Linked DNA regions of Solanum lycopersicum. The protein of the gene in region 2 interacts with the protein of the main gene of each other region in a pairwise test. Links are inferred from orthologs where the notes say so. Each region holds a gene or a part of one and is shown on either strand. Other genes may lie near its edges.

Region 1 (3,659 bases), on a different chromosome or scaffold from region 2:
ATGGGCCCGGATCTGCTGGCACAATTCATTTTAAGTGGGCCTCTCATTGAAAACTCCTTCTCTCAGCTAAATGAGCCAATCACTGCGGAACTTGAAGCCACTTCTATTCCTCCATCAGCTTCAAGGTGCAAAAAAAATAGAAGGAACAGAACTGGAAGAAAATGCGATGGAGAAGGAAGCTGATACAGAAGATAATGTTGATAGAGAAACAGTGGAAGTGTCAAACAAGTGCCCAGACCTTCCTGATTCTCATTCTGCATTTGGAAAACTATTGCTTTCAAAAACTTGATTCACAGAGAGGTGAAGAGAACTACTCTTTGACAATAATTGAAGATGTAGTTCCTTTAAACCACGTAGTCCAGAGGAAGAAGATGATTCAGAGCTTGACGTTCCGATTTGGATCTATCAGAACATAAAATTAGCAAAGGATTTCGGAGTAAACACTAAGGGATGCAAAGAGGAAGCTACGAGGTTGTTTATGAAGATCAATAGTATGAGACAGAATAACACTGACTGGGTGGGAAGAACTTGAATTCAACTTCAGTAGTTAAAGGCTCAAAAGAACTTAAGAGCCTAGGATGTGGGAGCAACTTCAGAAATAATGGTACCAGAAGCAGGGAGGGTTAAACATTAGCTAGTGATAAATGACAGTCAAGATAATTTCATGGAATGGAGAAGCCTGAATCAGGCAAATAAGAGGTGTGTAATCAAGAATCTATCCAAGGGTGGAAGGCTGATGTTTATTGCTTCCAAGAGACCAAGATTATAGGGGATGTGAGAAACATTATTAAAGATTTATGGGCAAACTGAGGAGTGGAATTTTGTCAACTTGAAGCTCGTGGTACTAGCGGGGACATCCTAATTATTTGGGACGGGAAGGTTTGGACAGGGCAGGTTAGCAGTGTGGAAGCATGCTCTATATCCTGCAAGTTCATAGGTAAAAGTCTTGACTTCACCAGTACTTATTGGCATCTATGCTCCAAATAGTAGAGAAGAAAGAGAAGAAGATTTGTGGGAAGTTGGGTCAGCTAGAGGCCTGTTCAACGGCCCTTGGGTAGTTTGTGGGGATCTCAACACAGTTAGATTCCTCTCTGAGAAGAAAAATTGTTCAAGAATCACAAAATTGATGTCTGACCTCCCTGATTTCATTGAAGATATGAGCTTGTTGGACCTTCAATTAGCAGTAAGAAGTTACACATGGGGGAACATGAAATTGCAGCTAGGCTAGATAGGTTTCTAGTGTCTGATGAGTGGAATGGAGGCTTCAAAAATAACAAGCAATCAATCCTGCAAAAGGTCACTTCTGATCACTCACCAATTCTAATACAATGTGGGAATTGGTAGCCTGTGAGGTCCTATTTTAAATTCGAAAATTAGTGGCTGCAGACTGATGGTTTCGGTAGCCTGTGAGGTCCTATTTTAAATTCGAAAATTGGTGGCTGCAGACTGAGGGTTTTTTAGATAGAATCAAGGAATGGTGGAGGTCCTTTGACTGTGAAGGAAGGCCAGATTTCATCTTAGCCTTTCAGCTGAAAACACTTAAAATTGAGTTGAGAGAGTGTAGCAAATCAGCACAAGGAAATTTGGCATTACAGAAAGAGAACATAGTCAATCAATTTGCTGAATTTGAGGAAGTCCAGGATCAAAGAGCTCTTGGGGAAGAGGAGATCCACTCAAAAGCTAAGCTTCTGTTAAGAGTTTGGAGATTGCATGGAGACAGAGATCAAGGGTTAGTTGGCTAAAACAGGGCAACAACAACACCAAGTTCTCCCACAAAACTGCCAACTCGCGCACCAACTTACACAGAAGATACAACAATATTGATGAGCTAAATGTGGGGGGTGAAGTATTCAGGAATCCAAAAGACATAAAGAAGGAAATTGTAGTTTTCTGTTAGAACTTATTCAGAATCAGAAACTTGGAGACCTTCAGGTGGGTGCAGGATGAATCACAAAATTAATGCTGAAGATAATTTCATGCTTTAGAAGGAATTTGAGGATCAAGAGATAAGGATAGTGTCAAACTTTGTGCTAGTGACAAAGCTCCTGCTCCTGATGGTTTTACCATGGCCTTCTATACCCATTGTTGGGAGGTTATTGGAAAAGATGTGATCGCCACAGTCAAGAACTTTCATGAGAGGTGCGTCTTTGAGAAAAGCTTCAACTCTACCTATCTGGCTTTAATTTCAAAAAAAATGGGAGCTAAGGAGCTCACTGACCTCAGACCCATTAGCCTAATTGGTCGAGTGTACAAAATCATCTCCAAAATACTCACCGACTCAAGCCCAAAAAGTGGTCTTTGGTTGCACTACCTATGATTAATGAGTTTACCTCTCCTACACATAATGGTGCTCTATAATACCATAGAATAGAAAACAATGTCATAACTAGCCCTTAATATCTCAGATTCATCATGGTAAAATTATCATATCTTTAGAGTGAAACAATTTTGTTCCTACTCCAAAATATTTTCACGCATACCATTCAAACAGCTTAAAAGAGATCAAACTGAATAAAAAGCAAGCCAAAGGCACAAATAAGTAAACCAAAGAGAGTGGATGAAACCAATTGCACATGTAAATTGGCACTTATTCACCAATATTCATATCATAGTTAAACTATTTAATGTCTCCAGTAATTCTCACACCAGGATGCCCCAAACAAATAAACCAAAAAAAGGATCAGCCAAGTTTTGTTTGCAAAATAATTTCATTAAATGTTGTAAATAGGCGACATGCATTTCAAGTGAAAATACAAGGTTGATTTCATGGACAGATAAGTCTGAAATGAAGCACTACTTCCAATTAGCCACATAATCGACTTCCATCACTGAGCTTGTTTCAGCTGTCCTATACCTAGAAGAGAAAAGGGGGGCAAATAGCAAAAACTTAAAAGAGCAAAACTTAATTGAGTTTCACCACAACTATTCAAGGATCATTTAAAGATAAAACTCCGATCTACTTGTTATATGGAACTGACAAGAAGGCTTAAATCAGATTCCAGAATTATTTAAGAGTTTGGCAATCCCGACGCCAATTCTACAGTTGCAGAACGTAGAATATACAACCATTCTTTATATTTGATTTTCTTCCATCAACAAAAACGAGTTCAACAGAAACAGTAAAGCTGATTTCCAAGGGCAGAATAATCAATTTACGTAGGAAAACAATCAGTTAATGTGTTGTTATTTACAAACAAACCTCTACGAAGAGCAAAGGAAATCGAAATAAGATAAATTAGAAAAAAAGGCAGAATGATAATAAACCTGCTGATGTAATTACAAATGAAGAAGAATCTTGTAACTTTTGAATATGTCTCCATAGTTCGTCGCAAGGCATTCTGCAAATCCAGGTGTTAGATCAAATTTATGTAGTTTATTAGTAAAAACGAGAAAGGCAACTCACTTGAGCATCTTGAGTCATTGAATCTGCTTCATCAAGGATTATGATCTTAAAAGGTGGGCAAGGATAACCACTGAAATGAGTAAGGAAGATATGTTGTTAAACATTATAGTAAAAGAGAGGCTTAAAATGCATTAAGAACATATGTTGTGCGGACTCTTCATATATGCAGGCGAACCCGTCTAGACGCGACTCTGGTGCGGGTGCGGGATGCGTGTCGAATTCATTCAATCCAATCCGAACACTTTGACCGAAGTTG
Region 2 (4,214 bases):
CTAATATTAGTTGAAATGTCTAAGCGAATTATGCAGAGAACTTTAAGGAACCTGATTGACTTAACTTTTTGAAAATCTCTCTATGTTTGTTACATATAGGGAAAAAAAAAAGTAATGTCAGTCACTCACCCCTCATCACCTAATTTTTTAGTTAATGGTTTTTGGTTAAAGATTTGATAAGCATGATGTCATTGTAGTATTAGGATATAGCACGCGTAGAAGAAGTAATCAATTAGGGGATTGAATAAACTAATTTTGATTTGTTTACTTATCTGTTTAATTACGCAATGATGATTAATCTTAGTTCTAATCTTATCGTACACACTAAGCCAAAAGAACCATACTTGAAAAGCAAAGTGGATTTTTGTCCTTTTGATTAGGACTCCCACTTCCTAAATGAGCCATTTGTTTTATTGCACCGTTTTTTATTTTATTTTATATGAGTTAGTTCGAATCGGTAGAAAATTTTTAAATGAAAAGAAAACTTTTGAAATTTATTTGAGATAAGTGATATTTCTTGTGTTTAAAAAAAAAAGATTTTATTTTCTTCTTAATCTGTTTAAAAAAGAATGTTTCGTTTTTTTTTTTACAATAATTTAACTTTAACTTTCCATGTGACATATTTAAGACCACAAGATTAAAGAACATTTTGATATATTTGACATAACTTTAATTTAGAACCACAAGATTAACAAGTCTTCTTTCTTTTCTTAAATTTCATTATAAGTCAAACTAGGTCATCCTTTTCGTTAATATCCTTTTTTTAACGAAGAGAGTAGATATTTGTGTTGTTATAAGTTATTTTATAAAAAGTAAAATAAATATTTTAATGTTAAATTGTTACTTGCTATATAAACATGTCATTCTTGTTTGAGGTAACTAAAAAGAAAAATAAATCAAATTTAGAGAAAAATGTACAAAACACTTTTTTTATTAAAAAACTCGTTTAAGACCCTTTTGTAGAGCTTTCATTAAAAAACCCGTTTAAGACCCCTTTGTAAAGCTTTCAAATTTCGTACTTACTTTTTAAGGGGAGTTATTTTCTAATCGATTTTAAATTGTGAAAAGTTGATTATTACTATTTTTTCAAGTTATTTTCTTTCACACACAAAACTTCTCTACACTAATAACAACAACAACGGAGATTCTAGAAAAGATATAATGTATGCATGTATCATCTTTTACCTAAAAATAGAGATATTATTATGGATTAAAGTACATGAAATATTATACAAACAAGATAACTAATGGTAACAAGACAATGATTATAATTGAATCATGTGATGACCAAAAATATAAGATAATAAGTAATAAAAATCAAAGAACTAGAAATTACGAGTGCAACACTAACTACTAATATGAACAGATGATAAAACAACACACGATGACCTTCTAATTTTCTATCCTAATTTGTGTCCTCCCTAATCTTTCTACGTAAGATCCTAAGCATCTATTTCCAGCCCTCATCAACACACGTCCATTCATACACATTCATTTCTACTATTTTCTCGTTTTATCTCTGTTTATATAAATTATCTATAGCCAATCACTCACACATCCACACTAGAACATCAAAACATATCACTTTCAAATGTTCAAAATTATCTCGATCTTTAACTTCCGCACCAAAGCCACTTCCAAATGTACCTATTTTAATCCTATCTCTTCTAGAACAACGAGAGAGGTTACAACATAGTTGGTCTTAACTATTACTTTGCATTTAGTCACAAAACTTGTATGTTTTTGATCAAATTATATAAACATAAGCTTTCTTTTCAATGTTCAAAAGAAAAGCTGATATGATAAAGTGAAAAAGAAATTGAGCAGAGAGAGACGTTAGTGGAAGAAGAACTGAAAGAGAAAGGCGGGCGACCTTTGCTGACCCTTCAAGTCTCTCCCTCCCTGCATGTCCCCTTTTCCATTTTTGAACTGTTTTACACTTTACGCTTCTCTCTCTCTCCCAATTCCACCGTTCCGGTACCGGAAATTCAACAAACTTCCCTAATATTTCTCTATCACAAATTTTAAAACAGACCCACAAACACTGCAGCTTACTAGCTTTAGTTTTATGTCTTTAACTTTTGTTTTCAAGATTCTTGCTTCACACTTATTATTCAACTATTTCATACTTGGGTTTTTCTAAAGACTTCATTTTTAGCTTTAAAAAAAAACTTTTTTTTTTTTGGGTTTTGCGTATGGAGTATTAAGAGGAAGATTATGCTGTATTAGGGCTTGATTAGAGGTAAGGATTTTAGGAATGGAGTCGAAGATTTGCATGAATGGACTGTGTGGGACAACTTCTTCAATTGAGTGGAAAAAAGGGTGGCCTTTGCGATCTGGTGAATTTGCGACCCTCTGTGATAAGTGCGGGTAATTCAATTCAGATCTCACTCTCTCTTTATACTTAATTTATATATGTTTGTAAATTCAGTTTTGTTGTTCTTTTTGTTTTGTAGAAACTGGTTTGCCTAGTGCTCAACTCTGTTTGATCATTTTATATGATAACATTACCATTTAGAATGTCAAACAGTGATTTTTCATTGTAAAAATGTTCTGACTTATATACTCTTTGTATAGGTTTTGAATTTGCTTATTTTATTCGAGAAAAGATTAAGGAATCAATGTCCTACTAATTGAGATGGTTTGAAATTTGTTTATTGAGCTGATTGTTCTTTTTTGAAACGGAAGAAGTATTTACAATCTGAACAGTTTCTGTGTTTATGTTAAGGTTACTGTGTTGGTGAATACTGTAGCAGCTCGGAGAATTATCCTTTTTGTTTTGCTGAAAGATATTTGCTAAATCATGTTCTTTTATCCGACTGTTCTTTAATTCGACTAAACAATTACTTTACCTTTTCAAATTAGAGATTGCATATTCAATTTGAGAGAATTAATTCTATTGGGATAATATGTTCCTAGTCCAGTTCATGCACCCTAGTAATGGTTGCTCAAACTGACTCTAGTTCTGGAAAGATTAAAGATCCTGCAAGATCAAAATGTGGGAAAGATAATCCTTCTTCTTTCTGTTTCACTTGTTGTCTTTTAGGAAGTCAGTGCAGATTAACCTGCTTACGTTCTCCTAAGGATTTGTATTATCTGTGATTCTTGCTGTGTCATAGGGAGGTTTTTCTTGGCTGAGATCAGGAGCATGGGCTTATGATCTAAGTGAGGCCGTTGAAGCGAGCCAGAATTTTTAATAAGGGGGTTCAGAATCTGAAGAAATAAACACATGAAGTAGCCGAAGGGGGTTCGACATCTATCGTATATACCTAAAAATTTATTTTAACCATGTAACAATAATATAATTTTCCGCCGAAGGGGGTTCGGATGAATCCCTAGTGATAAGGTGGCTCCGCCCCTGTGTTGAAGTGATGGCATAACTTTTTTTTTCTTTCCAGAATTGTCTATTTGGTTCCATGTTAAGTTACTGTGGAGCAACTTTGTCTTTTTTTGCTCTTTTTGGCCTTTATATGAAATAGAGATTGCATGCAGTGATTTCACTTACAGTAAATAATACAGTGCTGATGGAATGAAACTATTTTATTATTAATATTTGTTATTTTTTTCCCTTTTGTTTTGTTTTGTTTGTTTGTTTTACTTCTGTTATTTTTCTGTTTATCTTTTGTTTCTTGGTCAGGATAGATGACTGGTAGTTAAATTCATGATAAACTTAGATCTTTTGCAATCTACCGCCTGCATTGCCGAAAGGAAAAACATTCACTTTAACTTTGGAATAAAATGTAGCTAATGACAGTTTCACCATAAACTGAAAACTGAAACTAATGCAGAGTCTTAGGGCATCCAGTTTGAGAAATTATATCTGGAACGCTTCTAGTGTAGACACATTTGCATAAAACTTATTGATGCCAAAGCAATTCCTGGTATAGTCGATGTAAGCACAAGTTGAATCGGACACCACTATTATTAAAAAAATAATTAAAAAGATTCAATGGCGATATATTGGAATATGGTGGTAACCAATTAGAATTGAAGACCACGTAGTTGTAGAGTTGTATCACTGACTCAGGAGCCTGCCCATTCATTAATGAGCAAGATTCTCTTCAGTATTGAGTGGCAAAATCACAAACCACTGCCATTAGTGGGTTGAACGGAAACTTCTGAGCCCTTTTTTCTTAAAAAGTTAAGATGGTTCGAGGACCAACTTGCGCTAGCATATGTTAACTAATCCATCAGCACAGATATCACATAATTCT

What was found. The genes of interacting proteins can lie anywhere in the genome.
Region 1: the proteins of B3 domain-containing transcription repressor VAL2 (region 2) and replication factor C subunit 2 interact in binary tests that used the Arabidopsis thaliana proteins (3 or more experiments, as listed by UniProt). The link is inferred for Solanum lycopersicum from reciprocal best matches to the Arabidopsis thaliana genes HSL1 and EMB1968.

The regions. Positions count from the first base shown.
Region 1 is NC_090810.1:6,258,839-6,262,497, reverse strand, and holds part of replication factor C subunit 2, read right to left. Parts: intron 3,474-3,659; coding exon 3,404-3,473; intron 3,339-3,403; coding exon 3,265-3,338; intron 1-3,264. UniProt on the Arabidopsis thaliana protein: May be involved in DNA replication and thus regulate cell proliferation.
Region 2 is NC_090809.1:57,733,474-57,737,687, forward strand, and holds the start of B3 domain-containing transcription repressor VAL2, read left to right. Parts: upstream 1-1,383; 5' UTR 1,384-2,257; coding exon of another isoform or gene 2,258-2,279; coding exon 2,280-2,370; intron 2,371-4,214. UniProt on the Arabidopsis thaliana protein: Transcriptional repressor of gene expression involved in embryonic pathways, such as LEC1, ABI3, and FUS3. Repressor of the sugar-inducible genes involved in the seed maturation program in seedlings.